Linked DNA regions of Caenorhabditis elegans. The protein of the gene in region 1 interacts with the protein of each later gene in a pairwise test. Each region holds a gene or a part of one and is shown on either strand. Other genes may lie near its edges. The genes, in order: lim-7, ceh-27, lsy-2 and hpl-1.

The links.
Region 2: the proteins of lim-7 (region 1) and ceh-27 interact in a two-hybrid assay, tested with the Caenorhabditis elegans proteins (one large-scale study listed by BioGRID).
Region 3: the proteins of lim-7 (region 1) and lsy-2 interact in a two-hybrid assay, tested with the Caenorhabditis elegans proteins (one large-scale study listed by BioGRID).
Region 4: the proteins of lim-7 (region 1) and hpl-1 interact in a two-hybrid assay, tested with the Caenorhabditis elegans proteins (one large-scale study listed by BioGRID).

Annotation. Positions count from the first base shown.
Region 1 is NC_003279.8:5,713,525-5,721,326, forward strand, and holds the start of lim-7 (LIM/homeobox protein lim-7), read left to right. Parts: upstream 1-3,049; 5' UTR 3,050-3,151; coding exon 3,152-3,287; intron 3,288-5,000; coding exon 5,001-5,048; intron 5,049-5,094; coding exon 5,095-5,159; intron 5,160-5,848; exon of another isoform or gene 5,849-5,998; intron 5,999-6,387; coding exon 6,388-6,473; intron 6,474-7,348; coding exon 7,349-7,496; intron 7,497-7,644; coding exon 7,645-7,802. UniProt on the Caenorhabditis elegans protein: Probable DNA-binding transcriptional activator.
Region 2 is NC_003283.11:11,659,621-11,668,084, reverse strand, and holds ceh-27 (Homeobox domain-containing protein), read left to right. Parts: upstream 1-2,982; 5' UTR 2,983-3,018; exon of another isoform or gene 3,019-3,151; intron 3,152-3,386; 5' UTR 3,387-3,387; coding exon 3,388-3,545; intron 3,546-3,849; coding exon 3,850-3,917; intron 3,918-5,353; coding exon 5,354-5,550; intron 5,551-5,620; coding exon 5,621-5,878; intron 5,879-6,198; coding exon 6,199-6,309; 3' UTR 6,310-6,536; downstream 6,537-8,464. Other genes in the region: F46F3.3 (Attacin_C domain-containing protein), read right to left, coding at 1-57, 519-570.
Region 3 is NC_003284.9:2,086,789-2,095,644, forward strand, and holds lsy-2 (Zinc finger protein lsy-2), read left to right. Parts: upstream 1-2,915; 5' UTR 2,916-3,011; coding exon 3,012-3,038; intron 3,039-3,216; coding exon 3,217-3,357; intron 3,358-3,408; coding exon 3,409-3,514; intron 3,515-3,566; coding exon 3,567-3,723; intron 3,724-4,138; coding exon 4,139-4,222; intron 4,223-4,273; coding exon 4,274-4,369; intron 4,370-4,428; coding exon 4,429-4,605; intron 4,606-5,474; coding exon 5,475-5,583; intron 5,584-5,684; coding exon 5,685-5,780; intron 5,781-5,836; coding exon 5,837-5,941; 3' UTR 5,942-6,465; downstream 6,466-8,856. Other genes in the region: col-164 (Nematode cuticle collagen N-terminal domain-containing protein), read left to right, coding at 6,701-6,929, 6,982-7,697, 7,748-7,993. UniProt on the Caenorhabditis elegans protein: Involved in transcriptional regulation. Required to specify left-right asymmetry of the ASE gustatory neurons, probably acting upstream of microRNA lsy-6.
Region 4 is NC_003284.9:13,242,528-13,249,180, reverse strand, and holds hpl-1 (Chromobox protein homolog hpl-1), read right to left. Parts: upstream 3,792-6,653; 5' UTR 3,754-3,791; coding exon 3,661-3,753; intron 3,586-3,660; coding exon 3,502-3,585; intron 3,449-3,501; coding exon 3,359-3,448; intron 3,307-3,358; coding exon 3,104-3,306; intron 2,431-3,103; coding exon 2,346-2,430; 3' UTR 2,137-2,345; downstream 1-2,136. Other genes in the region: K08H2.7 (uncharacterized protein), read left to right, coding at 755-814, 863-1,006, 1,249-1,312, 1,377-1,483. UniProt on the Caenorhabditis elegans protein: Seems to be involved in transcriptional silencing in heterochromatin-like complexes. Involved in epigenetic repression. Probably does not act as global transcriptional repressor. Plays a role in linking epigenetic regulation with the innate immune response.

The DNA.
Region 1 (7,802 bases):
AATCCACCTTCTTGGCATTTTGTTTTCACAACTTATTAGTTTGTATGCTATTCACATGAAATTGAATGAATAGATTTCATTGTCAAACGTGAAGATTACCCGGAAAAAAGATTAAAAATCAAAAAGTGAGAAACAGATAATGAGGTTGGCTGATCCCTCTCCGTCAAGGATTAAGAAATCAGTTGTACTTCGTGGCCACCCCCTGATTTCTTTTCACATTTTATGAGCTCATCATACTACAATTCAAGCTACTTTTTTCCTTTAAGAATTTCCTTCGACCGTTTTTACCCAACTGAAATTATTGAATATAACTGTTGAACGATTACATAAGTTTTTCTGTTTATTTCAAGCGCTCACCAGTTTTCAAAAATAAAAGTTGCATGACTTCATTATTTTCAAATTTTGGCGCAGAAAACAGTTTAAAAAATCTCTAATTTTCAATTCAAATCACACTAAAAACGTTTTGTTTTCTTTAATACATTTTCCATAATATTATTTAGTTGAACTTAAACACGTTCCTTACAGTTTGTATGAATGCACACTCACACCTCGACACTGAAATATATCATATTGTTTCCCCATCTGTCAGGTGTCTAGAATTCCAAAATACTTGGATGTATCCCACTGAGAATATTGTGTAGATGTTTGAAGTGTTAACAGGAGGCTAACATCAAAATGTCATTGATATGTTCAGATTTAGAACAATCATGGGAACGAAATTGAGAAACTTATATAGCTAAAATGACGAAATATCATAGAAATTTTTTTCGAAAATTGTTTTAAATTCTTTAATTTCAATCAAAAAGTGGCAATTATTCAGTTTTCATAGTTTTGGAAGTCGATCAAAAAAGTTTCTTCACGAGTTTTATTTCTTGATTTCATTTATCTGTTTGTATTTGAATATTGAAGGCTTTCAAACCTGCAGCAATGCTTCCGAAAACCTCCGAGTTTTTCGAATTTTTTATAACTTGCCAAAACTTTGACTGAAAATTGTGAAAAATATGAAACCTTTTAGATGTAGACATTAAGTTTTTTTTACCATTTTAAATGCATTTTGACAAAATCGTCACAGGCGCTACTAAACCTTTAATTAAGATCAACTCCCTATCCATCGAGAAAACTCGAAAACCTTCTCGAGTCTGCCACGTGTCTTCTAATTCCTACCCGATGTGCTCACTTCCTGTCGGGACCTTTTGAGTTGTAAAATAGTGAGAGAGAAGATGACCACGCGTAGAATCAATATTTAGGTGAGACTGTGCGTGATCTGAACAGGAAATCATTGACTTTTGGAGAATAACGTTTTTTTCTTCAATATGCATATATCTTTTTTGTAAGTCATAGTTATCGGTTTTCTCTTTTTTTTTTAGCGAAAATTGATTTCTAGCTTTTCTCGAAGTGTTCAAAAAACTGCAAAACTTACTTTCGTACAAAATGTAGAAATTTTCGAGATTAAAAAATTTAAATTACAAAATTTTGTATTTCGGTCTTTCTATTTCTTCGTGTTTTGGAAAAATATTTTTTTAAATGGAATACGATAAACTATGAAATATAACTTGTAAAGTTTGTTTTCTCTTACACCACAATAGTTGAAAAATGGCTGTAAATTTTTCACATTTCTCCCCGGTTCTAAAAATTTTCCAATATTCTGGATTAATCCAGCATCCATTTAATCATCTTATCTTTCAAATCCTTATCAATCGATGGAATCTACAGTATCCTCGAATACTTGTCCGTTATCACCTTCTCTCGCATGCATGTTCATCTTTTCATTCGTTATTTCACACCTTTTGAGGTATACAGGAAGTGGGGGAATCAGTTAAAACATACATATGTCCACGTGTCGGCTAATTTAAGAGTGCAACTCTATAGAAACTGCAAATTCACTTTTCGTACAATTTTTTTGACTAAAAGAATGAAGAGTTTGCAATACTAACGAAGAAGTGCAATACTATTAGGGACGCAAGACTAATTGGGACTTCAAGTCTATATTTCAATCGATATGAACTCTAAGAGAGACTCAAAAATAAAATAAAATAAAACATATTTCTAGTTTCTAGATAGTTTTCAATAAGGAAAATATGGCGTCCACCAGCCAAAGGAAGAATGAGGGTCAGGTTGAATCCGGATAAGAAGATATTTCCAGGGATAATCTTGTTGAATTCTCATGTTTTCTGATTTCAATTTTTTTTCTCAATTTTTTAAAATATTCATCAATGAACATAATACTTTAAACCTCTGAGAGAACCAGTCAGTTTCTGATTTAAATATCAGAAAAATGATTGTGTTAAAGATCGAAGCAAACATACCACATTTTTTCAGTATTGCAGCCATTTTTTGGAAAAGTTACATGAATAATTTATAGACTCTGAAGATGTTCTACACTTTGTGAGTTTATTGTCTTAAACTGTAGTACGCGGAGATATTAGTATGGAAGCTAAAGGAAACTAGAAAAACATTTGAAAATGTACGAGAAAATTTGACTAAAATATAGGATGGATTTTGAACTCTAAAATCTAGGGTTATGAAATTTAAACGTCCTAAGCGATTTGTAATTTAATTTTGAAACTTTAATTGTGAAACTAAAGTGAGGTCAAATTTCTCACATTACTTTCCTTAATTCTTAATTTTTTCAGGAGCAGACAATTTTGTTCAAAAATTTCGAAATTTTCTAAATGTTTAAATATAATTTTTTGCTCATTACTTCAATCTTGATGAGTAATTTCATAGAATATATTTTGCCAGTAACATTTAACTGTCTCAAAAATTTTTTTGGCATTTGAAATGTCATTTTTTAAACTTTTTCATGATCCAAATAGTTCACACAAAACTGCTTTAATCCAATTAATTACAAATAAAAGAAATATAGGTTACCATATCCACAAAATCAGGATGTTCACACTCTTATTCTATCACTTGGGTGTTCACATCCGGCTGGTTTTCTTCTCACTTCTTTCGTTCTCCTCACTTAGTAGGTGGAGTCTACCAACCAGTCGCTCGTCGTCCGCCCGCTCAATGACTCCGCCCACTTTCTTGTCTCTCCGTGGGTCCCAGGGCTCTCGGTTCTCTTTTCGTTTGTGACACTTCCAACTGTCCTATCTGTGTTTGTGTGTATCTAGTAATCAATCACAAACTTCTATATCTGTTCAACGGCATGAACATCTGTATGCGAAATGGTTATGAGCAATTCTCACTGACATCTCCAGGAACATCGGATCTCGAAATTGGTGGATCATTTTGGAAAGACGAACCGGATACCAAGTACTTGTGCCTTGATTCTCCTGTTGAACGTGAGTGTTTTTTTTTTAATTTGAAAATGTTAAGCGTGGGCCAAAATATTTCAAAGAATTTACATCCGGAAAAAATTTTTTTGTAAATTTTCTGAAAATCACAGCTTAAAAAATTCAAAACAAAAGTTAAGTTAGATTCATAAAATTTCCATTTGAAAAGACATCTAACAGATCTAAGAATACAACACCTTCTCTCAAACTCCACTTAATCTTGAAAAATAAATCTTAAAATGTCAAAATCCCTGCAATAACAAAATCGAAAGAAGGAGAGGGAGAAAATCTGGAAAAAAAGATTATTCGCACTTCTAAGCCTTAAATATCCGTCTATTTTCCCCTGAATTTTGCAACTTTTTTATCTGAAGCTCTGGTGCTCTTCCGATTCTTTTCCCATACTACTTATAGGGATGAGCCAATGAATAAATGAGCAAAGTTCCGAAAGGTGTCTGAACTTAATGGGCTCACTTCCAAAAAATTTTGAAGTCATATAACATTACTAAATTTCTTGGTAGAAAAAACCCATTTGAGCTACACATTTTTCCATGACACCTTGCTTATTCACCAGTTTGGCAAACAAAAGAATCGGGGGGTCTCACACAAAAATATATTTTGTTGATTAAACGATATGATGGGGGTGGGGAACAAATGGGAGGCTCCATCAAAAAGCTCTTAGTTCAATCAAGTTCTGAAAGTTTAAAAGAAAACAAAAATCGCTATTTCTTTCATTCCATTTGTCCCCCTCCTCTTTTACTTTTTTCTTTTCCACCTTCTTCTTGTTGTCTTAAAAACGCATAACTTCATCTGGTCCTTCGATGAAGATCTAAGCTATAATCGCCTTATGCACATCACATGTACATATCCGGTTTGAAGATTTCAACAACCCAACCAGATTTTCTCGATTTTCTTGGCCTCGAAAACTTAACCTAGAAAGTTTTCAAATAAATATATGATATTAATAAAAATTAACTTTTCACAGTTTTGTATTCCGAAAGTTTTTAAAACCTAATTTTCTTCAAAAAAAGTTTTTCTCTAGGTCAATTTTCAATTCTAATTTCAAATCGCAACACTCTCCTCCCAAATAAGTAGTTATTTGCCGCCGCTCCGATTATGATTACTGTAGTGGTGGGGTGTTTATAATTGCTTATATTAAGTAAACTTTCCTTCTTTTTTTGGGATTGTTACTTCTTGTTTGTCAACGGCCAGTTTACTTCCTAAAATAAGATGTCAAATGTTGAACAAGGGGATTATCAATAGTTTGAAATGACTACCTTTAGTTGTTATAGTTTTAAAATTAGAACATTTTAATATGTTATTTTTTAAACAGTAGGAAGCTGTCGACTTTAAATTCTTCCGAATAAAAACGGAGCTCAATAAAATTAATGACGTGGCAAAACAGTGCTGACAGAAGAGGGCAAAAATAAAATAAAAAACGTTTTGGCAGCTACTAACATCCCCAAACACCCCACAAATGAGCTATTTTATGAGTTTTGTTAGGCTCTCCCTGCCTTTCTTCACTTTTTTCTTGAAGCCATGAACCCCTTCATGACACCTAACTGGGTATCATTATCCATTTGTGCGCGTGGCCCTCCCCTCTTTCTATTACTTTTCCCTAAATAAAGCTTGAGCTCCCCTCCTCTCACAAACCCTGTAATCTTCAAATCAAAGTCGACGGGTAATTTGGGTTAGAGTAAAGTTAATCGAGCTTTCATTTTTCAGAACGTCAGCACCAACCACCGATGGCAGTTTGTGCCGGCTGTCGATTGGGTAAGCTCTTTCGGGGACTAAATTCCAAAAAATTATTTATTTTCAGAAATATCAGATCGGTACTTCCTCAGGGTCAATCCCAATCTGGAATTTCACGCTCAATGTCTAAAAGTGAGTTTTTGAACATTTTTATAACTGAAAAATGGTTTATAAGTATCTCGTCTCACTTTGAAGGATTTTATCTCAGTTTGTTTTGAATATATCAAAAATAATAAAAATACACAACCTTTTCGATAGAACAAACAACAACCGAGATACTAATTGAGTGCAGTGTAGTCTCATGGTTTTTTTTCTAAACAACAATTTCGAAAATTACACGGGGGTGGATTTTCACAAGAAAACCTAATTCATTCCAAATGATCTCATTCAAAAATGTATTGCACAATGAGCCCCTCCAACTGTCTTAATACCTTAAAGCTACAAAAGTCCAGTAAAGAGAGAATTTACACGCATGACTTGACACATTGTTTGTTCTTTTATTCAACATTTTGATGTATGTTTCTATATGTATGTAGGATTTCCATTTTGCATATTATTCAGAATTCCAACCTTTTCCCCTTTTCTCTTTTCTGCTCCTTTTGAATTATTCACCAATTTGATACCTTTATTCCGGGTCATTGTACTTTTTGCTCTTGCCCCACGACTTTTAAGCAAAGGACAAAAAGTGAATATTATACAAAAAAGGGAAGGGGGAGGAGAAAGGGCAATGATGATGAAATGAAATGAGACAAAGACGGAAAAAAAGAAAAGAAAAAAATCAAAACGTGTTGACCAGGAAGCATAAAAAGGGGGAGAAGCACGGAAGAGACGGATCAAATTACTGCGCAAATTCGCGCATTTTGTTGATTTTTTGAGTGTGAAGATTGGTGTATACAACTCACTGGGACAGAGGGACCCTTGCGTGACCAGTCAAGGTGGCAACCATCTGTCGTGTTGGAATAGGCGATGAATACCTAAACAGTAGTAGAATAGATCACGCTATTCAGTTAACTATTTACCTGTTTACCGCATAGTAACCCAGTTGTGGAATTTTGACATTGTCAACTCTCACCACGAACAAAAACTTGTCAAATGAAGGCTTCGCAAAAAGATGTGATCCTTTGAAAACTAAAAAAAACTGTAGCGGATTCCCCCTAATTTTGAACATTTCTTCGATTTTTCCAAAAATGTTTTCTCTAAAAATAATTATCTTGTTGAAAAACGAAGGATGCGAGACCGTACTAAAAATACCCTTAAAATATTTTTGCAACTGTAATATAACAAAATATAATGTTTTATGAATAAAATTTTCAGGCAGGATTTTAATACAAACCCGTTTAATTAAAATTTAAAATTTCAGTGTGTCCAATGCTCTCGCCCACTCGACGAAAACCAGACAGCATTCGTGAAAAATGGACAAACGTATTGCCGGGATGATTACAGAAGGTAGGTCAAATGATGGCAGATGTGCATCTTTTTGTGTAGTTACTTCCATAAACGATCATGAAGAGTCAAAGTGAAATAGACAATTACCTTACTTCCGCCGGAAAACGGAGCATACACCTGTCTCTCTTTCGCTTACTTCCCCGAGTACAATGACTTTGGGAAGACAGGGAATGGGGTGTTGACTCACTTACTATTATAAATAATAATAATAATAAGTTTGGAAAATGTTGCGCTCTTTTAATGGATGCATTTGCATAATAGAGACCCCCGGATAACTTGGGAGAATGAAGCGTGAAAACTATCCAACATTTTTATATGGGGATTATGATTACTGTATTTGACTATAGATGTGAATTACGCATGGGATTAGGTAGTGTGCAAGAATATGTAACCAAATTTTGAAGTGAGTGTCAAGTGTTTCATTCTCCGAGTTACTGTCATATTTGCACAGATTTTCTTACCAAGTTGGTAAGACAGGCCTACAGCGAATTTGTCAATATTTTTTAACGTTTGAAATTTCAAAAATAGACAGTGATTTTTTAAAAGTATTTTTTAAAATAAATTTCAAAAATAGCGAAACATACTTGACTTGATAGCAAGCATATCTACAGCCAAAAGCTAATAGGATCCGGTAAAATTGCTAGCTTTGCACTAATAACAGGGTGACCACGCTAATTTGCCGCCGAAATCAACCGGAAGCGTTCACGTAATCACTATAAAAACGGCACCGCCTGGAGCATCTTCCTTCCTCTTCTAAAGCTCGCCGCCATCTGGCGTCTGAAGGTGTGAAAACGTGAAAACAACCGAAAAGGGGAGAAACGGAAATTGTGACATATATACAAACATACAGTGCTCTTTTCATATATTTATTTCAGGTTATTTACAACACGTTGCTCTCGATGCCATGGAGATTTTGACAAAACTGATCTCGTGATGAGGGCTGGACCCCAAAATGTGTTCCATCTCAACTGCTTTGCGTGTGTTGCCTGTGAAAAACGATTACAAACTGGAGAAGAGTTTCAGGTGAGATATATTTGTATTCTTCTTATTATTGAAAAAGACTATCACAATCTTATAATATTATATATTATAATAGTAACCATTCGGTTGCATAATATTTGTCTAACAATTATGGAACACATTAATCCTTGCATCTAAAAATATATTACAGATCAAAAATAACAGCTTATACTGTCGATCAGACTGCCGGGGACTTGACAATCCAGATACATCAGCTTCAGTTCCAGATTATTCAAAATTGAATAACAATAACAACAATGATAACAACAATTCAAGTTCAAATTTTGATGAGGATGAATGGGATGAGGA
Region 2 (8,464 bases), on another chromosome or scaffold:
TATCAACCATTTTCATTAAGCTTTCGTTTGTTGTTTCACTTTCTGAGGATCGGGATTCTGGAGATTTAAATTCTTGTTTTGAAATTGAAAATGTACTGATTTCAAAAAACACATACAGTTTTTCAAGGGGGTTACCAAAAACAACGGCTTTAAATTTATTTTTCAAACCTGAATATAGTCGAAGTTAGCAAAGTTAACGCTAACAAGACTAACAGGTAATTTCATGTCTATAGCTCTACGATTTCGACCACGTTTTTTTCATGAATTAAAAAAATAAATTTTTATGTATTCTGGAAAACTTTCAAAAATTGTCTTGTAACAGTGACAATTAGCTCTAAATATACTCAAAAATACAGTATTTCTTAGTGACATAATGAAAATGTTTGAAAGTTTGAAAACATTTCAGTCAACTTTTAGGCAAAACTATGATATTTAGTTGTTCTAGAACCGCGAGGATTTATTTTTAACATTTTCGCTTGGTGATCAGGGCAGCATTAAATAAAAACGTTTAAAGTTACCAATGACGCTTGAAATTGCCAAAATTGAGAACGCAGAAATAATAATACGCATGCTTAATTCGTGAAATGTGATAATGATTCTTGTGATATGATAGCCAAAAGGATAAGTCACTGGATGATGGCCTCATTTCATTCCAGTTTCTCTTATGTTTTATCATTGTTCGATATGAACCTTGAACTAAACTGAACTGTCAATGAAAACCGGATTATGAGATACTTCAACTGAACTAGTGAAACCAGGTATTCTCAAGAATTGAAAAGATGCTTCAACGATTTAAATGACAAAACACTTAGTTCCAGAAAGTGTGAAAATGTGCAAACCCCCGAAAAAGGAAACGACAAAAAACTCGCCGCAATCTCTGTTTACTCAATGTTTTCTCACTTCCGTGAAATGAATTGTATATTACATATTTTCTCACAATATCGGTATTCGAACCCGAAAAGAATACAGATGTCTTTCTTCCTTCCTGTTGCTCGGGACAGGTGCATGCCATCTTCTTTATTCTCTCAATAATGGAATTAGTGTTTTGTCGGGAAAAGGAGGTAGAAGGAAAGGGAAATGGCAGAAAAGTGACAACTGGAGAGAAAAGGATTTGTGAAATATGAACGGGCGACGAAAACCGTGGAAACGTTATGGAAAACTCAACACTTTTTTTTTGGTTTTCCTGATGTGGCACATAGTGTTCATAAATTCTCGAGTCTCTTGTTTTCAATCATCTTGAAGTGGATTTAGCAGGGTACTTTTTCTATTTAATTTATTTCAGTACACTAAGTTTTTTATATTCTGATGTCAGATTTCGCTTGATTCAAAATCATTTCTCAATTATATCATCTAGATTTTCCCACTTTGCGTTAAAGCCTTTTGCAACTCATTGTAATTACAAAGCAAAACAAAAGTGAAAATATATTAACACTCATTTTTATGAACATCAAGAAAATTTGTTTGTAGCCTGTAATTGAATTTGGAAAATAAAAACTTTGAATCAAAACGAATCTCTCTCACTAGTTTAAACTTGAACTATTTTAAGTTAATTTTAATAGAGAACTACATCTGATTAAACGAGAGTTTTTAATGGAAAGTTGGTTCGGTGAAAAATGAGAAAGTAACACTAATACTCTCACGCTCTATTGATTGTTGGCTCACTGTTATCAGTGTGATCAACTTCGTTGACTTAGCAAACTTTTTTTTTCTCATGGTAAAAAAAGAAGGTCGTTAAACTCATTAACATTTGGATTGTCCACTAATGATTGAGAGTTTTGAACTCTCTCCCAAGTGTAAAAGTTCAAACTGGATGTAGGAAGGCAAAGTGCAAGGTAGTAAAAAGAAAACAACTATTTACCGATTGAAAGAATCTTACTGAAAATATATTAATTTTACAACTAAACAGTTGATAAGGCAAAGTATCAAAGTACATTTTAAAAAAGCTGTTACGTGAACAAAGGTTTTTTCTCTTTTTATAAAAAAAACTAGGTATATCAAAACAGTAGAAACGGGAGGAAAATTTTCAAATTCCACACTTCGGAATGACTGAAGTCCAGTAAAAATATATATGCCCGTGTTAAGAAACTTTTTGCAAATCTCAATGTTTTAGGCGTTCATTTTTCCATTCCCTCAATAAACATTATTTGGAAACTTAAAATGTAAACTGCATCTTCAGTGTATTTACAGCAATATGACACAGTTCCTCGCCATTGAGAAATTATCAGTCTATTATAAAATTTTTTTATTGATTTTTTTCAGAATTAGGTTTCAATATGGCATACAACATTCAATACGACGTTAGTATATCTCAATATCTCCAAAAAAAATAATGAAGTAGAAAAAACTCATACAATTTTCAATGAGACATAGACATATACAACCTTAAATTTAAGATATTATCACAAACATACAATTAAATGACGACGCCGATGGTCTCACCTTATGGTGCAGTTTTATCTGAAAAGAAATTGAATTTTGCGAAGGATTGAGCTGTTTGTCCTTACGGTTTCTATTCAAGTTATTTCGCTGCCCCTTTGGTCTTTTTTTAGTCTGTTATTCTGTTGGCAACATAATTTACCAAAAAGAACAACACTCTCCAACACTAGTCAGAATTAGGATAACTGAATAATTTGCCAACTTAGGTACTTGTGGAGAAATCACATGACTTGAAGTTTTTTTCTTGCTAGCTGAGTTTATTTGGGAGTCTAGAACTCGAGATTTTCAAGTAAAGAAATTAGGCTTCTCCTACGCATTCTCAATTTCATTTATAATTTTCAGCTGGTAGCACTTGATTAAAATGGGCAATTAGGTTTCAAGTATTTCTTCTCTTTTTTTTCGGTTTCCATACCTCTTCCCCTCCGATACCTCGATTCTGTTTGCCCCAGTCTCCGCCCATGGCATCCAATGAGGTTGGTGGGCGTGTCTATCGGGTGGGACAAGCAGGGCGAGAGGCTGGACTGAAGGCGCACGGGAGACACGCACACGGTGAACGATCCTCCACAAGCACTCATATAAGAGGTAAATGAGCTCTAAGAGATTCTCTCGGTTTACTTGAAGGGCCACTTTGGCCGTCCTCTCCATGACTTTTCAAGTTTTTAACTTAAGTGAGTTTTGAGTAGTTTTCGGGACGGACGCCACTTCCATCCTCCCCTTCACACCCCATCCTTCACATTTAGCGCCCCAATCGAGGCACTGGAGCAGCAGTTTCAATTCTCTGTTTCCAAAAAATAATGATAGAATCTAGAAACCTATACCATATTACCTCAAACTCTAACTTGAAAAGTCATGGTGAGTCTTCTATTCATTCCTTTTATTTTCTTTGTATTCTAATATGACATTAACTTTAGAATCCCAGTTTCTCGCCTTTAACTACAATTAATTTGTAGAATGTCTTCTGGATCATCCAATTCCTCCACATCAGCCCCTAATTCTGTCACACCAACTACTGATGCTTTCTCAACTCTCTCCATCTCAGCACCGGCTACAACTGCAGCACAAATGTCTTATTTTGCCTTCCCTAATCAATATCCACATGATTTCTCAAGGTATGCTTTTAATTTGAGGTAAATTCTGGATGTATGATGATGGATTATATGTCCCCCAGATGTGGAATTATTCAACATCAATGGTTTCTAGCAAATATAATTTATTTCGATTTAGAATACAAAAAAGTTCAAAAAAATCCAATTAATTAGTTAATTCACGAATAATTTTAGCAAACCTGAATATTTCTTCAGCTACAACACAAGTGCGGCCTACGCCACCGCTCCTGAATACAAAAAAGTTCAAAAAAATCCAATTAATTAGTTAATTCACGAATAATTTTAGCAAACCTGAATATTTCTTCAGCTACAACACAAGTGCGGCCTACGCCACCGCTCCTTACCCAATGGCAACGCATCCTCAACTGGCCAATTGTGAGTTTTTTTCTTCAAATTCATCTTCTCGACTTTTCTCACTTTCCCGTTCGCAAATAATTACAGTCCGGTCAATTCAATTGAGTTGCGCGCTTCGCATTTTTCGCAACAATTATTTTATGTCTAGATTCTTTGGTTTATTATTTAGATTATTATATAACACATACATATATAAAACAAGCGTGCGCGATATAATTGACATATACCCGAGCTACAGTAGGTCTGGTCTATGAGTAAAAAAGGTTCCCACACTAGCTTTTTCCTTTCTCTTAGATCTTTTTTCGCTTCTTCCTGCAAAACATATAATCCCTTTCTGCCGGTGGTGCTAAATGTTTGTCTTTCCAACGAAACTCGTCCTACAGTACCTCCCCTTGGTTGCCACAACATTGGAAATGAACAAGTTTGCCAACTCAACTAACTACGTCTGTCCCTTATTTTCCTTTGTTGGACAACAAACAACTAACACCATATTGAGAGGTGATAGTAGGGGTTCAATGAAGTTGCGTCGGAAGTGACGTAACATCAGTAATCTACAACACCTACTTGAAACCGTGAGAGAATTGCTTCCAAAACTTAAAGGCATGAAGGTCGTGGTACTGTAGACGTGAACATGTGACAAAACTAGTTGGTGGAACTTTTAATTGTTGGAAGGTCAATGGCGGAAATCATAAAAAGGAAATCTGCAAAAAATGTGAACTCCGAATTGAAAAATTGCAGTAAGGGTCCAAATCAGATATCATATTTTCTGATAAGTATTTTAGAATGCCAAAAATTTATTTTCTATTATATCTCTACTTAAAATAATTTACATTGTCATTCTATTGAACAGCTTTGACATCTCATATCTGGGTGGTTTTTTGTTTTATCACAAAATTATCAACTTACAGTAAATGTCATTTTTCATATATAGTTTCGTACTTAGTTATTTTTTATAGCTTTAAAAACGAGATTTAAGTTGTCAAAGCGGAGCAATTAAGTACAATTCTGACAAAAAAAATACAGTAGTTGATACCGTATCAGTTTTTAGCTTTAAACCAAGTTCACTGCTGAAAACTTTTTCAAAACTTCCAATTTGATCTGAATTTTTATCTTTAAATGTACAGGACAACCTAGATTCAGTTGCTGGCAGCTTGTCTGCCAATTCTCAGCAATTTGTTTAGTACGCCACGGGGAGTCTCTCTCGAATACTCAATTGTCTGGTAAACGGACCATATTTGTAGAAGAGTTTGCTGTGGTGCCATTTTTGTATCGTAGTTAAGACAAGTGTTAGCATACATTGACACGTGCACGCATGTGTATTTTTCTTATTGTTTTTATAAGGGACTACGGAAATTGTCGATTTCCTGAGACTTCCGTTGAAGGGCAAATTATCGCGGATCTTATTGCCATGATCCTATTGTATTTAGTAGGCATAAAACAATCACTATTTATTGCAGTTAATCGCTTCCAAACCAATCAGCTGAATTTGGGACTTACGACACAGCAGAATATGATGATATCACGAAGAAAGCGACGTGTTCTCTTCTCACCTCAACAAGTTCACGTCCTGGAACGCAAATTCCAAATCAACAGATATTTGAGCGCCGCGGATCGGGAAAACCTTGCGAAGAGTATTAACTTGTCGGCAACACAGGTTTGAACTTTTAATTTAAGCTAATCATTTGCGATGTTTCTTGTTAGTTTCTCACATTTGCCGTATTCAGGTGAAAATCTGGTTCCAAAATCAACGCTACAAGTGCAAGAGACAAGAAAAAGAGAAGAAAATGGATGGTGGATGCTATCGGGATAGTGACAGGGACACTGATTCAGACAGAGACAATGATAGTAGTGGATCACTTGGAAGTTCGATGTCTGGAATCAAGAAGGAAGAAGATGAAGATCGGAAACCATTCATGCCATCAGCAGTTTCATCTGATACAGCTTGTCTTCCGGATATCTCACAACAAGCATTCCCATATCAGGTTCGTATTTTAGATTTGTTGAGACTTTCAAATCACAAAATCGTGTTACAAATAAGATTTTGTGACGGTAATCCAATAGGATTAACATAGGGAATCGGATCACACACTTGTGACTATCTCTCTATTCTAATTCAATTTGTTCCGTTATGATGTGGTCTCATCACCTGGAAACAGATGCAGATGCACAAATGATTTTTGAAGGACCCACTTCTGACTGCAGCTGTCATTTTCCACTTTTGAATCACAGGCTTATGAACTGTGCAGTTGTTTTTTATATGGCTATCGTTAGATGACAATGTTCAACTATGTTTTTTTTCCAGATGTACCCTTCGAGTTCATATATGCCTCCGTTCTTCGCATACCAAGCACCTCCTGCAAACTATCCTCCGTCTACATACAATTTATCGACATCAGCATTTCATAACCTTTAGCTGACATTCAACTATGCTCAATTTTTTTTTTAATTTTCTCAATTTCAATCTAAAAATCTCGTGACTCTTCTGTTCTCTTTCCTTCCCCAATCCTCAATGAGCTTCTCATTTTTTTATTCCAAAAATTGAAAAATCCCAACACTAAACTGGTATGTATTTATATGCGTTGTTGCTATATTTTTGATATTATATAATCTTGCACAATAAAAATAATTTTAAATTTAAAACTTTGTTTCATTGATTTCAGAAATAGATGTCGCTTTTACCGTAATCATAATGACAGACGACGTGCCATTCTCTTCCTATTCATTGGGATGAATGGTGATGAACATGAAGAGGCGCACGCATGTTGTATAGAAAAGAAAATGCGTAGTATATTGTTTTGTAGAAAACTGAATGGAGGTACTTGAACAAGACGTCGACATCCAAAAAAAGGAAGAAGGAAAAGAAGGAAATGAAGATGTCAGACAGCAATAGTGACGCGATGAATCATCCACCAAAAATTAGGAAGATTTTCAGAAAACATGTTTTCAGATGTTTTTAGGTGGTGTTCACATTGTTGCACAAGCTGTGTACTTCTCGTGATAACTGCTTGAGATCATATAGAAACGATTTTTAGTAAATTACTTTTGAAGCAAAATTAGCATTACAGTTGAAATAATTTAATTTGCAATTGGAAAAATAATCGATAACATTCTATTTCATAATTTATTCCATGTTTTTCCAATTTTTCCAATTTGCAGTTCTTAAAAGGCAAACTTTTTTTAAAACTGACTTTTAAAATGTATACTTTTTTCCAATATTGTACATATTCCAAAATGAAATCGCTTTTTTATTTTTCTTGTAAAATTATACACCATCCAGCTTTAATCCTGTTTTTGTAGCAGAAATCCCATTTTTCAAGTTCATGTCTTCAACTGACACCTTTGGTATGCACAGCCGGATAATCTACAGCTTGATGACAGACAGACACGTGTTGCGTCACCACCTGCACACATACAAAGCTCCCAGAAGAAAGGTGTGAAAAGAAAGAGAGAGGAAGAACACCGTGACTTTTTATCCCTAGTTTGGCTCTATAATTAAACGATTTGCGAGTTATTACGTAAAAGGATATGCCGACGGGAAGATGAACCAACCAATTAGGGTCATCACATGTTACCGTAATATGCATAACAAAAAGGTGTCAAAGAAAATTTATATGGGCATTGTTGAAAAGAGCAGAATTCAGGTAGCATTCTTTTTAGAAGTAAATTAGTTGTCCACTTTTCATTTTCATTTTGACAACCGTATCTTTGGTAACAGATAAAATTTTCAGCTCCATTTTTAAGATCGATAGTTTCTAGCAAACAGATTGGTAAAATATTTTAAAATTTCGAGTGTAATAGATACTGCTAGCAAGTTCGTGAAAATCAAATATCATGTCCAAAATACCGTATTTCATCTTGTGAAAACTTTGACTAATTCTATAAACCTATTCAAAGTTTGTGGATGTCCTAAAGGAAGTTATGAGCACATTGAAAAATTGCACTGGTGTCCCTGTCGGTACCAGGAGTCTCTATTTGCTCTTTGTGGACATACTTGTGCGTGACTCTGCCGTACCGTAACCCATTCTCACATTTTCACACTATTCCTCCACACCTCTGTAAATGGTGACGGACCTCAGTCAAGTGCTTTTCTTTTTCTTTTCAGGATGAAGAGTGTTCGCTATCGCCCGATGACCAACACTTAACCAAATTTAACAAACTCTACTCATGAACGTAGTCGGTTGTCTCTAAGAACTTCTGGGGACCATTTAGAAAATCACAGGCAATTAGAACAGGAAGAGAATCACATATTGCCAGACGGTTATGTTATTCTCTTCCATTATATTTTCATTTGTGTGATAAGTGCACGGCGGCATTTGTAAAAGGCATAGCGTTTAATAGACAAAGTGTGCCGTAGTGACCTCCGTTCATTATATAGGTTACAAGATAAAAAACAAAAAAGGAGAGAGCACTCAATCAGAAGTGGGGATGAGCACCCGCCGAAACACATTAACCACTGTCGGTCAATATGTGTTTATTGTAAGTGAGCTCCTTTTATGATCAAAGAAATGTAGAGAGGATTGGATTTCTAATTCATTAATTAGACCACACTGGTTAACTTTAGTAAGGTG
Region 3 (8,856 bases), on another chromosome or scaffold:
TAATGTAACTTGTAAAAGACTTGTTTTCTTCTTTATTGCTTATATTTTCCAAAATAATTTTTTTGCGTAATTTAAGTACTTGTATTTATAATTCTTTGCTAAAAAAATAAATATGTATTATGAAAAACTGCAGAACTGTGAAAATTTAGAAACTATAATTTTTCTGAGGAAATTTATACCTTGGAAATAATATTTCAAACAATGAAATGTATTCTGGCTTTCAAAGCAAACTAAAATGAATAAAAAAAATTATGTAAGCCTTGGAAATCTGAATAATATATTTGAAATATTTTAATATGAAAATTGTAAAAAAGTGTGCATAGATTAGTAACAGTTTTTTTCTGAACATTGCTTTAAAAAATTGATATTAAAGGCTATAAAAATTTAATGGAGAAGTACCGGTTTGGACGATTTTGAACATATAGACCCAAAATGTGCTTAAATAAACGAATTTTTTAATGAAACGACTCAAAATTGTTTCAAAAGTTTTTTATGGCGGTTCAAAATTTCCAAAAATACCTTAATCAACAAAACAACATAAGGTAAATTACCAAAATTTGCAAAAAAAATGACAATAATTAAAACAAATCTACTTTGAATCACTGCGGCACGGAAAAGTAAAAAAAAAGTTGGATAATTTTTTTCGAAATTTTGAACCGTCATATAAAATTTTGTAGATTAAAAAAAAATTTAATTACAAAATTCGATCATTTAAGCACATATTCAATTTATACGTTAAAAGGCGTCCAAACCGTTACTCATCCCTAACTATGTTTATCGAACCGACTTCCCTAGGTTGAGAGATTTAGTCTCATCGTTCCACACGCACCAGGTAACTGAAAATAACATGCACTTTTAGGAAGCTAGAGCCAGGATGTCTTAATCCTTTTCGTTTTCCCCATTTGTCTCGATCCAATATAACGAAGCGGTTAAGTTCTCAAAACTTCAAAAATCTGTCGAATGAAGCAAGTGTGAGCTGCTTTTTTTCAAATAAAAGTATTGCCCTACAAATGTTAGAGGGCTCAGAACGGAAACTAGCTGGCTGTTCAGCAGATGTTCGTCAAGATGGCACCCTTCATGGTAAAAGTATCTTTCACGTTTTTTTTTCTTCGCCGAGTATCTGAGTAGAGGGAGTTTCTCAACTTGTGCTCGTTTCTCTTAATCTAATTTCCCAGAACAACTTGGCGATTGTACTTCTTTTCTGAGACGTCGAACAAGTTTTCACACTCTTGTTAGAACACTTCACTTTGAAGGAATCTTACTATAAACTTTAGGTATCCTTAAAATTTTGATACTAATTGTAAAGACTAATTTTTCGAGTTTCTGGCTTAATATATTATTTTTGAAAAAAAAACGTTTTGTTTTATTTTAGTTCACCAAAACTCCCCTTCTCAAGATTTTTCAATTAGAATTGTGAAACTTATGAACATAAACTGAACAAGACACAAATTTCTCCTCAGGTTTAAAAAAACATTTGGAAAAAATTTGTTATTTTTGGTAAATTAATTTATATAACACTACTTATTGGTATTTTTATAAATAGTATAAATGCTGATAGGTTTCACAAAATGTCAATCTTTATTTGTTTTGTTGTGTTTGTTAACAAACTTGCTTTGTAGTCAATAAATTATCAATAAATATATAAATCTTATTAAATTTAATCTAAAGCTTTAAAATTCAAGAGATCTCTAACTTTTTAATTTTGTATTAAACTACTATTAACCGTTTTCACACTTTTTTTTCGAAATTAATATACACTTATTTTATTTATTTTTCAATTTCATTAACCCGAAAACATTTAATTTTATAATTCAGAATGATGAATTTACACCATCCGCAGCACCAGTCCAATTTCCATGAACAACACACGCCGTTTGCTGCTCCGATTCCAAATGGACACCACAACAACCACGTCTGCCTCCACAACAACAACAACAACAACAACTCCCAATATACTTGGAGTTACACGGTGAGCCAGCGTGGATGCGTGCGAGCAGCAGGCAAGATGCACATCTGCTCTTCGTCTGGGGCTTACGGCGTTGCACGAATATCGAATAGTGTTCATAGCGAATAGATGCGATTTTCTGAGTCCTGATCGATTTTCATTCAAATTTCCAATTTCAAATTTCAAGGTTTTATTTTTTCATTTAACTTTTTTCAATTTGCCAAAATCGTTGAAGTCTTTTGCTGGGTTTTGTTCAGTTCCAAAAGCAGCTGTGACAATATTATACATGTCTTTTATGTTAGGAAAAATATTATTGATCATGTATAATTTGATTGACTTTTACTATTCCAAGCACTAACTTCTATTTATAATTAAATCTTAATTTTACTTTCAATAAAACATTTCTGATGCAAATTATTTTTAAGACTTGCCATAGCCCAAAAATTAGCAACCAATTTCTCAATTCTCGGCCACCTGAGATTATGAAAACGCATCTGCTTATTTTTGCACCTGTTTTGTGTTTTCGACCAAACCATGACTAAAACTAAAATAATTTTTTTCATAAAATTGTATTTTATTTAGAAAAAAAAGACAATTTTAAAAATTCCGAAAAATTGCAATGAAAATGTTTTAATTTGCACTTTATAATTTTGAAAAAAAAATTGTAAAAAATGACGATTATTACGAAATAATATAAAAATACAGTTTAATTTTTTATATCTAATTTTCTAAACACTCGCAATACACAAAAAACTCATTATTTTCTAAATTCTACACTTGCTGAGTTATCAGAAACGATGTAAAAACCACGAACAGCAAGCGACGGTGGTGACCTCTGTCCTCTCGCTCACTATCCTTGTTGTTTGTTGCGCGCCTGCGTCTCGTTTTCTCGTTGCGCTGCGGCCGCGTCGCGTCCCCTCCGAGTGGTCGCATTTCTTACCGTATCGTTCTCATACCATAACCCTTTCTGCACTTGGCGGCAAGGTGAATAGTTTGAATTCGACGCTTCTTTCGCAATATCTAGCAGTCTCGAGCTGTTTTTAAGCTGTCTGAGGCAAATTTTGTCATGCTAACCAGAAGAAATGCTAAGCAGGTAACTAGATATCATTTCAAAAAAAATTTCTAAAATTTTTTGAAATCTCTTGAAACCCATGTTTTCATTTTTATTTCGCTTCTGTACTTTAACCTTTCCTTTTATAAACTCCTTTCAAATTTCAATTTATCGAATCTTTTATAAATTCCCTACTTTTTTAGACGTTCTCTACTTTCAGAGTCAACGGAATTCTGCGGATCAGTCCCTCTCTGAATTCAACAGTTCCAGTATGACTCACGGGTCGAATCAGTCAGTTTATCACCACAATCAACACATGGATGACTCCGAAATGATGATGGATGAGCAGGATTATTCTCAGGTACTCAAAAAAATTCTGAAACCATTTCAGGGGCATCATAATCAATTTCAGTATCAAATGGGGTTTCCTGAAGAAGATGAGATGGTGGAAGGAATGATGACCCCTCGAGCTGTGCACCAGTGTAATGTTTGCAACAAAATATTTGTTTCCTATAAAGGTAATTTTTTGAAAAATACGGTAGCTTTGTCTAACTCTGATTTTGTTTTCAGGTCTCCAGCAGCATGCAGTGATACACACAGATCAGAAGCCTTTCCGATGTGATATTTGTTCAAAATCATTTAGGTTTAAGTCGAACTTGTTTGAGCATCGTTCAGTCCATACCGGCTTCACTCCTCACGCCTGTCCATATTGTGGAAAAACTTGTCGGTTAGTGGTTTTTTTAAACAACATTCGCTGTGCTCTTTCAAATGTACAGTAATAAAAATGTGGCGGGTTGCGAAAACGACCGTTTCCCCTTAATTCTCATTCTCTCACAGTCGACTCTCCTCTGCTAATGCGCAGTACGGTGTGTACAGTGTACGGGCCGAGAAACGGTAGAGAAAAAGAGACGGACGAGAGACACCGTAATGCCATAGGCGACACTGTAGAACAATCGATAAAACGAAGAGAAATAGTGTTAGAATGGTGAAAAAGGCGTAGATAAGATGCATGCCGTACTCATTTCAAAACGGCACTCGTGACAGTAATCTAAATGTTGCGGGTAGAAAACACAAAAATATAATCAACAAAAATTATTTAGGCGATACGAGAAATAACAAACAAATTTTTTAAATTTTTTCAGACTGAAAGGCAACCTCAAGAAGCATCTTCGCACACACGTCACGACGAAGGAAGAGCTGGAAGCTGCCTGGAGGCCGTTTGCCAGGTTTGATCTTAACAAAAACGGAACGCCAGTATTGGCAAAATCTCGGTTCAGCAACCGTCGGCCGCCTGCTGACATCCCTGACGACGCCATCGTACTTCGTGGAGCCGGAGGACCGTACTACACGCCGCCGCCTCGTCCGAAGAAGAAGTAAGCAGACATCCAGCATGCACAATTAAAATGTGAGATTACCGAATGTTTTTTTTCAGGAAGCTTGGACTCGGAGAACCAGAGCACTGGGTGGACAAGTTGAGAAGAGGAGATCTTCTGCCACAAGTTGAGCTTGAGGACAAGATCAGACGTCTCGAAGACACTATCTTCAACAACATGTCTCTTGAGCGTTGGGGCAACCTTTTCGAGATTGCAAAGTCCATTGCATTCGAGACGTGAGTTTATTTATCCTTGAACTGAAAAGAAATCGGAGTGGAAAATGCCGTTTGAGCACATGAATTCTCAGAATTACGGTACATATTATATACATACCTGCTCTCCGTGCGTTTGAGAAAGATTTGACATCAATTCAAATTTTTTGCAACAGTTTCGCTACGAAATTTCGTCAAATTTTGATTGAATTATTATCTTAAAAGAGAGCGTACTTTATAATTTGTTTTAAAATGGCTGGAAGATTGTTGAAAGCATAGAAAGCATCAAAAAGTGAATGTAGGACTGAAAGTGAGTATAAGTATAATATCTGAAAAGCGCTCGGTGTGCGGCAAATTTGCCGAATTTGCCGAATTCATCGAATTCCGTAAATTTCAAAAATGTAGACTTGCCGAATCTGCCGAGCCCGGCAAATACTGAAATTTGCCGCACACATGAAACAATTTTTATAAAAATTTTGTACAAAACTAATGGTTTTGAACAGAAACCTAATGAAAGTAAACATAACATCGTGTTTCTTTTATTTTTTATTGAAGAAATCCACACGCGCATTAGGCAAAATTCGAACAAAAACCAGTAAACGTAGTTTATTTTTTAAATCAATTTTGGCCCTCTTTGAGCTCGAAAAATATTGCGATTTACTGAGTATGACAACCATGGCAAATTTGCCGAATTTGCCGCACACCCATGGTGCGATTCATTTCCTAATATATGCCTGGGTTTGTATACTTATTGAATTTTTTTGAACCAACTGAGTTGTAAGCTCCCAAAATCGAGCAGTGCATTACTAATAGAACTAATAGAACTATTATAATAGAAGAGAACACATTACACAGTTTAAATTAAAATTTTCATTAAACCTACCTAATTTCAGCCATGATTGTCCAGTGTGCAAGTCTCAATTCATGACCAGAATGGATTGTGTCAGCCATCACACACTCGAACACGAAAATCATCGGGAGGGTCTTGAATTTTTCTGCGAAGTGAGTTCTATAACGTTGTAATTTGAGTGGTTTTCTGTCTGTGGGATGATTGAAAATTTGTTATTATTGTTGGATTTACGATACAATATATATTTTTTCAGAAATGCTATAGACCATTTGCTGACGAGGCCAGCTACAATCAGCACATGAGCTACCACACGCGAGTTAGCAGTTTGATTGAAACTGGAGAAATTGTTGTACGTTTACAAAAGTTAATATTTGAACAAATAACTAAAGCTCACTTTTTTTTCAGCCTCAGCCAGCAGATCCGGAAATTTTGGTACCAACGAATGACGAGTTTCAAATGCTGTTTGGCGCAAACTTTGGCCAGCAGATGATGGAACCACAGTTGATTTGAAATTGATTATTATTATTGTTGCTTAGATAGAGTAATTCAGCTTGCGCACTTACCCATTTTTGACGCCTTCGATGACATTTCTTTCAACTTCTCTTATTCACCTTTTTCAAAACGGGGTACTTTTTTCTTCTTGTTTTTTTGGTTCTTTTCTTACCTCGGGGATTAGTATTTTTTGAAGATTTCCTACCCATTGACAGACAGACTTGCTCTTTCAATCATTTTTTTTTCCAAAATTGTAAGCATGCCGTTTATCATTGTTGGCATTGATCTACACCAGCGATATCTTGCTCCTTATTTCCATTTGTAATCCGTTGTTTTTTATTATTATAACCTAATGTATAACCTATTGAGGAGTTTGTATAGTCGTTGTAGTAGTCTTTGTTTGTTTTACCTTTTTTTCCCGTTGCCTGATTTCGTCTATTTTTATATATTCTTCTCTTTTGAGCCGATTGTATAGGTGTTCGATTAATATGAAGTGTCATAATTCAATTTATGGAGTGAATAATAAAATTTTGATACGTTTGAAACAAAATGGAATGAATAGCCTGGTATCCAGAATATGCAAATGCAAAAACTTGTTGAAGCGGTAGCAAGGATCAGATAATACAAATGAAAGTGGTTTGAAGTGAAGATTGGGAAGGAGTAGGACAACTTCCGGAACATACCGATCAGAGTTTTAGATAACACATGTTGTATATAAGACGGTAGTGGGGTACAACATTCATCAACCAAGTTTTTCTCCATTGTTTGTTTCGAGCAATGAGTTACAAAACTATGGAGTCGTCTTCGTCGACTGTCTCATTTGCAGTCATTCTTTCTGGAAGTGCTTTCTTGATTATGGTAACTGCTACTCCTGTCCTTTTCTATACTATGGGAGACATGACTGCTCAACTGGAAACTGCAAAAACTGGTTTTGAAGAGACTTCGAATGTGCTCTGGAAGGAGCTTGTTACGAATGAAAGCCACCGCAGAGTTGCAAGACAAACATGTAAGTGCAGATGTTAACGTTATCTGAAAATATTTGACAAATGAAAATTTAGACAAGGAAGGAGGAGCTGCTGGTGAGGGATCTCCTGCCGCTACAGCACCCGAAGCCAGCCCTGTGAAAATTGACGACTCTTGCCCAGCAGGACCAAAGGGTGAATCAGGATCAGCCGGAGAGCCAGGAACCGACGGAACCGATGGAACTCCAGGAAAAGATGGAGCTGATGGAAGCAATGAGCAGACTGCAAGCCAAGCTGGAGATCTTTGCACTGCTTGCCCAGCAGGACCACCAGGTGTTGCTGGATACAAAGGAAAACGTGGACCACGTGGTGAGAAGGGAGATAAAGGAGCTCCAGGAAACGCAGGCCGCGATGGTGCACCAGGAGATGATGGACCAGAAGGAGACCATGGGCATCCAGGACCAATGGGACCAGCAGGAGAGAAAGGAACCAGTGGAGCTGACGGAAAAGGATTTGCTAAAGGAGCACCAGGACCAAAAGGACCGACTGGAATGGATGGTCTTGCAGGAGACGAGGGTCTTCCAGGAGAGCGTGGAGAGGATGGTTCAGCTGGAGCACAGGGAGAGACTGGACCACAAGGACCACAAGGAGAGAAGGGACCAGATGGATTCCCAGGTCTTCCAGGATCCGCCGGAGCTTCTGGAGAAGATGCTGCCTATTGCCCATGCCCATCAAGAAAAGGAGACATCGCTGGAGGAGGAGGTGGCGGATACGCTGCAGCCCCAGGAACTGAATTTGAAGGATCCCCAGTTGTGAGTTTTACTGCAATTCTTGGATTTCAATAAAATAAAAGTACTTTCAGGAATCCGATCCAGCTAAGCTCTCTGCCGATATTCCAGCTCCATCGCCGATTTCCGATGTCTCTGCTGAAGGAGCGGGCGCCCCAGTTAGCGATGCTTCTGGCGAAGGGCCAGCTGATTCCGCAACTGAAGGAGAAGGTGCTCCAGCTGGAGGAGCTCCAAAGGGAGATACCACATATCCAACAAAGAACCGTGCCAGATTTACCGCCCGTCAACGTGCTGTTTCCCGCATTCGCAGAACTTTCTAATTGTCTCTTTCTGATTTTGGTTACAAACATCAAATGTTTCAAATAAATAATTCAGCATTTCAAATTGTTTATTTAATAAAAAAAACACAAATTTAAACTATATCAAATAATATGAACGGGCTCCATATTCAAACAAAGTTTTGGAATAAACAAATTAGATTTTTCTGATTTATCACAGATGTTGTTCGACCGAGCTTTTGTATTGGAATTGTAATCTTTTTTGGCATGTGAGCTTGGAACGTAATTACAAACTCCATTTCTATGCAAGGTTGTATTGGTTTTCAATGAGCATCTGCACAAAATAACGAGAACGGAGCATATAATTATTCTGAAATTATCAAAAATAAATTTACTCGAAATCATACTATTTTTTGGATGAACTAATACAAAGAACAACTTTTTCAAAAACTTTGATATCTATTTGCCATGTTACTAATGAAACACCTTGAAGTCAGAAATAGATGTATGCTTTGAAGCTAAATTTTATTTTAGAACGTCATAGTACCTAAAATCAATAGAGATCCGTAAGTGATTATTAAACATGGTGCTATGTTACATAAAAATAAAAATTCTGTGGTTACCATCAACTTACAATACTAATGTTAACAAAATGATGACTGTTACAGAAACGGTGTCCAGAATAAAGATTAAAACCTCTTGAGTGGTTTCGAAAATTTGATGAACATCGTTCATATCTATTTCAGACAATGCAACAGTTACTGAAATAGAATACGAAAAAAGAGTGACAATCAGAAAATGCTTGCGAATAACAAGGCACAGAGAGAGAAAACAACGTGCTCAGAAGCAATGGCTTATCAAATTTTGAAGCGCTGTGGGGCGGAATGGATTTTCTAGACGTGAAT
Region 4 (6,653 bases), on another chromosome or scaffold:
TCTTTCAAATTAGCAGCTGCTTCAATTGTACGGGAAATAATACGTTGTGCCAGGTATTGGGAATTGTGTTATCAAATATTGCTGATTTTATAGAGCTTGAAATTTCAATAATAGATTTTATAAGATCCGAAGAATAGCTAATAATAAGAGAAACTGACTGAATCATAAAATGTTTAAAAGTAAAACTAATTACCTATTCAAAAATTCCCTAAAAACACTCAGAAAATAAAAAAAAATCTGGTCAAATCTTTAAAAAAAAAATCAAAAAGCCACTGATTAAGGTGTGCAAACAATTTGGAGAAACTGACGGAGTCAATACCTTTTATGCTGACCAGTTGTGCTCTATGTACGCGGGAGTTCAGGATACTTCGGGGAACTACACAATCCCAGAAAGATGCGAACTTTTGTTTAGCAAGCTGCATCGTGAGTGTTGAAACTTGAAAATTGGATTAGGGGGAAGTAACTAAAAATTTGTAATTGTGAAAAATGAGATTAGAAACGTTGAGCTCTTGAACTTTTAGATTTTTCAGCTTGACGTTTGATTTCTGAGTCTAGCTTATATGTCAAATTTTTCTATTTGGTTCAAGAAATTAATCCCAGAAGTAAATGTATATAAATCAGGGAATGGTTTTATTGCATGAAAATTGTTTGAAAAAAACTCCGTGTTCATTGATTCTTGTCCTTGAACTGACTTTGTACAAAAGATTATCTACGTCGATAAATAGATACTTGTTCTCTAGCATCTTCCTGTCAAATGGCAGTATTATCGAATGTCGATCTTTTGGGTTCTTACATACAATACGGAATTCGCACGGTGAGTGTCTCAAGTTAACGGTGAATTTAAATAAGTCACATATTACAGCAAGAGCATAGTATGCTGTTAGGTTTGAATAGAGAAAATTGCTCTTCGAAGTGGAATTGGTGGTCTAGATTGGAGAATAAAACAATCACAGCTGGAGTCGGGAATCAGTCAGAGCCATGTGACATTGTGCAAGGGGCTTTTGTGGTGAGTTATGATAAATTTATTTCTAATTAAAATGCAACTTAGCAAAAGAAATACAAAATTAGATTGGGTGATTCGGATTTCTTAGTTTTTGCTTGCAAAAATAATGTAACACAACATTGATAATTGGAAAAATACAATAAATATTAATAAAAAATTTAAAAAAATTACTTTAATGGCAGCGAAGAGTGAAAACCAAAGTGAGACTTGAAGTAAGAAATGATGACGAAACATCATTATTTCAGGGGTTTAACTTGGTTCGAATAACTCCTTCGAATTTCACACCGACCGGCATTTTATGTCAATGCAGTGGGTTTTAAAACGCAACATTTCTGATAAGAAGTAGCAAAGACTACAGTTCAATATGTTTCAGGTGACCAGGTCTCTTTCTTGCCAGTGGTTAAAAGTATTGATACAGCAACACGGCTCACGTTTTTCGCAGTGATGTTGATAACTATTTGTAGGAACCAAATTTTATGACATTCGTGGTACGAAATAAAGTTTTTCTTTAAATGTTTGTCAAATGAAATCGAGTAAAATCAATCACGTCAATTGAAAATACAATTTAAATATTCATCATACGAATAATTAAGGATGAGCTTTCATAAAAACCTTCATAAAACAAAAATGAACTGTTCTGACAAAAACAGGTTTGCAAAATTTAGGCTTCATAAAATCAGTTTTTTAAAAATGTGAAAAATCTGATAAGTCAATTCAAACAAAATTTTTTTTTCAAACGGACAAAGAACTGTGTTTATATTTTTAATGTGCTCTAATAATTATATGATCAAACGGTTCTAATAAACAATTTAAACTTTTCAGGAAATGTTGCGCTTTCAGACAACTAGCCAATTTACAAGACAACGTCAGATTATCAGAAAGGTTTGTTTTAGAAGCAAAATTATGAGTTGTTAAAAACTGAACAAAATTCTTAAAGAAATACTTTCGTTGTAAAACACGTTGTAGCGTGGTCATTATTGACTATTTCGGTATTAATGTATCAACCTGTCACATTTTTGCATCCCAGCACGTGATGAGAAGATAGAAACTACATCTTTCTTTTCTGATACGGTAACATAAAATCAGAAGAATGTGCGTTTTCGTTTATCTGGTAAAGGATTGTTTCTAAAGCAAATATTTAAATAATTTATTAAAGGAAAAAACAAAATGATGTGAAAAAATTTAATATAAAAAGTTCAAAAATTTGTTAAGAAAAATGGGAAGCGAACAAAGAGTAAGTCCTTCATCAACGAAATCTCAGCGAGAAAATTCACGAAACGTACTGAGAGAACAATCAAATTATGGGAAGGGGAGAGGGTGCGATATAATTTTTGAAATTAAATTAGCTCATTCCTCCTGGGATGGTTGGCGAAACTCCTTGAAGAACAAGACGGGTTTCGTAGAATTTGATGACTTGACTTGGAAAACTGAAAATCACACTTTATTGAAAACTAATATTTTTGATGACTTTGCAGTAGCGATATTTTAAAAAGTTTTGAATATTGCAAGAAATCCCTTGCGACTTGTGAATAGCGCCAACTTAGGTTCTTTGGGGCGAGTTACTTTGCCGTGACAAATGTTTTATCTTGACTCAACTTATTACAGTATCACACTACGTTCAAGGCAAGTTTTTCTAATGCCTTTTAAGTGTACGAGAAGCACTTTCTTAGATGTTAACTACATCATGAAATTCGAGGTTTCATATTTTCCATTTATAAAAATAACCTATTATTTTTGGCTGTTCTGCTAGCACGTATTGAAGGCCGAATTTGCTCGTTCCGCAGAGCTTCATGAATTTTAGGATGCATTTATATACTTTAACAGTACGTTAAAGAGTCGATTGTGAGCATTTTTAGATTTTTTGATTTGCTTTAAACTTATAGTATTGCCCTGTTTATTTTCTGTCAAATACCAGAAAAAAACAAAAATTTAATAAACATGAAAAATCCAGGCTTGCAGGAATATTAAGCTTTCGACTTTCACCATATTTTTCAATTTTGTAACATTCTAAATCTTTTTCAGACTCTTTCAAATCCGAATTATTTTTTGTCGCTAATTTTAGAGGGAAAAACTAAAATTTTTATAAACGATAATATTTACCGAACATTGGCTTCTCTCAATGGAATCAAATGCACAGAGTCGTCGCTGAACTTGCACAAGAAATGCAGTTCTCCGGGTGCCTTGGTGATTCCAATAATTGTCTTCAGTGTTTTCCCAGCCCATTCATCGCTGGTAGATGGTTGGAGCTCTGCAGAAGACGAAGTCGACGGTTGTGGGGAATATCGACGTTTGCGTGTTGTGCGCTGCAATTTTGTTACTATGTATTTTCATCTCAATAAATTTGAAAAATCTCACCTTTGCCGCTTCCTTCTCGTATTCCTGAATCATCCTATCGCACTGGAGGTTCTCAATTGGCTCCCAACTGCACTCGGACTCTGGGAATCCCTGAAGCACAAATTATTGTTCAAATAACATTTTAAGGACGAAAATGTACGAACCTGCCATTTTATATAGTACTCGCTTCCGCCACGCGTCAACCGTTTATTCAACACTTTTTCCACCACGAAGACGTTGCTGGAGGACTAGAAATATATTTTTCACATTAATATTGCCGATCCTTCAATTTTTTCTCGATTTTAAATTTAAAAAAAACTCACTTCCTGAAACAACGGAGCATCTTGTGCCTGCTGAGCTTCCCGAGCTCTGAGTGAATTCCCGCGAGTGCTTCGGACAGGGTTTTGACGTGACATTTTGGCGAAAAACCACCTGAAACCAAAAATCGATAGTGGAAAAAAAACAAGAGGAGACGAGAGTGAGAGAGTGTGCCGCACTGCAGACTAAACGCGTACAGCGCACGGAAAAAAGCGGGAGACATAGGCCCGGGTTTTCAACAAGTCTTTCGATTTGAAAATGGAAGAGTGACCGTGAAAAGGTGCAAACCTATGTCGGCGGCCACTGTCGACAAAAACAAATTTTTTTATTTCATCTTGCTTAGCCTCTCTTGTATTTAAAGAGATGCCGGAAGTCGAATTTGCACTCTTTCACGGTCACTGTTCCATTTTCTAAAATAATTTGTATTTGAAACTCAAAGTTGATTTTCTTCTATATTTTTCTATTATTTCAAAAAAAACCAGACCATCTGAAGTTTTCACAGTCACTTTTTTTAATTGTGCGCAGATTCTTAATGAAACAGGCTAAAAAGTAACATTTGAATTGACTTTCGTGCAATTTTCCTGGAAATCATACAACAATCAATACAACAACGATCATAAACTGCGAACATTTGTAGATAAAATGTTTCATTAAGAAACATATGGATACAAACTTTGAGAAGAGAGGGGTTTGAGAAGAAAAAAATCATCTAAAAAAACGTGAGAATCTGGAAGCTCATCTGCGATTGCCCTTGTTTCGAAAATTACAAACCTTTAGCCCATGTTCCAAAATACATAAATAAGTTACTGACATATTTAACCACTTGAAAACGTGAAAATCTGATAGCTCACACTTAATGAGCCGTATCCCCAAAGTTGAAGACTTATAGCTTGATTTACAAGCTAAATTAATTCGTGGCCTATTTATTACCGTGAAAGTGTGAAAATGTGAAAAGTCAAATTCAATTACCCTTAACTTCAAAGATAGACCCATACGGCTCAAGATGCAAAATAATTTGGGTCGTGACCTATATAATTGAATGAAAACGTGAAAATCTGAAAGCTCGTACTCAATTACCCATAGCTTCAAAGTTAAATCCATATAGCTTAATTCTCAAAATAATTTGGGTCATGACCTATATAATCAAGTGAAAATCTGAAAATCTGAAAGCTCATACTCAATTACCCATAGCTTCAAAGTTAAATCCATATAGCTTAATTCTCAAAATAATTTGGGTCATGACCTATATAATCAAGTGAAAATCTGAAAATCTGAAAGCTCATACTTGATTACCCATAGCTTCAAAGTTAAATCCATATAGCTTAATTCTCAAAATAATTTGGGTCGTGACCTATATAATAAAGTAAGAATGTGAAAATCGGAAAGCTCATATTCGATTACCCATAGCTCCAAAGTTACAGCCGTGTAGCTCAATTTTCAAAATAATTTGGGTCGTGACCTATAAAATCAAGTAAAAATCTGAAAATCTGAAAGCTCATACTTGATTACCCATGGCTCCAAAGTTACAGCCGTGTAGCTCACCTTTCAAAATAATTTGGGTCGTGACCTATATTGTCAAGTGAAAATGTGAAAATCTGAAAGCTCATACTTGATTACCCATAGTTCCAAAGTTACAGCCGTGTAGCTCACCTTTCAAAATAATTTGGGTCGTGACCTATATTGTCAAGTGAAAATGTGAAAATCTGAAAGCTCATACATGATTACCCATAGTTCCAAAGTTACAGCCGTGTAGCTCAATTTTCAAAATAATTTGGGTCGTGACCTATATAATAAAGTAAGAATGTGAAAATCTGAAAGCTCATACTTGATTACCCATAGCTTCAAAGTTAAATCCATATAGCTTAATTCTCAAAATAATTTGGGTCGTGACCTATATAATAAAGTAAGAATGTGAAAATCGGAAAGCTCATATTCGATTACCCATAGCTCCAAAGTTACAGCCGTGTAGCTCAATTTTCAAAATAATTTGGGTCGTGACCTATAGAATCAAGTAAAAATCTGAAAATCTGAAAGCTCATACTTGATTACCCATGGCTCCAAAGTTACAGCCGTGTAGCTCAATTTTCTAAATAATTTGGGTCGTGACCTATATAATTGAATGAAAACGTGAAAATCTGAAAGCTCATACTCGATCACCCACAGCTCCAAAGTTACAGCCGTGTAGCTCACCTTTCAAAATAATTTGGGTCGTGACCTATATTGTCAAGTGAAAATGTGAAAATCTGAAAGCTCATACTTGATTACCCATAGCTCCAAAGTTACAGCCGTGTAGCTCACCTTTCAAAATAATTTGGGTCGTGACCTATATTGTCAAGTGAAAATGTGAAAATCTGAAAGCTCATACTTGATTACCCATAGTTCCAAAGTTACAGCCGTGTAGCTCAATTTTCAAAATAATTTGGGTCATGACCTATATAATCAAGTGAAAATGTGAAAATCTGAAAGCTCATACTTGATTACCCATAGTTCCAAAGTTACAGCCGTGTAGCTCACCTTTCAAAATAATTTGGGTCGTGACCTATAAAATCAAGTAAAAATCTGAAAATCGGAAAGCTCATATTCGATTACCCATAGCTCCAAAGTTACAGCCGTGTAGCTCACCTTTCAAAATAATTTGGGTCGTGACCTATATTGTCAAGTGAAAATCTGAAAATCTGAAAGCTCATACTTGATTACCCATAGTTCCAAAGTTCCAGCCGTGTAGCTCAATTTTCAAAATAATTTGGGTCGTGACCTATATTGTCAAGTGAAAATGTGAAAATCTGAAAGCTCATACTTGATTACCCATAGCTCCAAAGTTACAGCCGTGTAGCTCAATTTTCAAAATAACTTGGGTCGTGACCTATATAATCAAGTGAAAATCTGAAAATCTGAAAGCTCATATTCGATTACCCACAGATCCAAAGTTACACCAATGTAGCTCAATCCTATAAAAAATTATATAATTGACCTAGATCCGAGTTTCAGACATCAATTT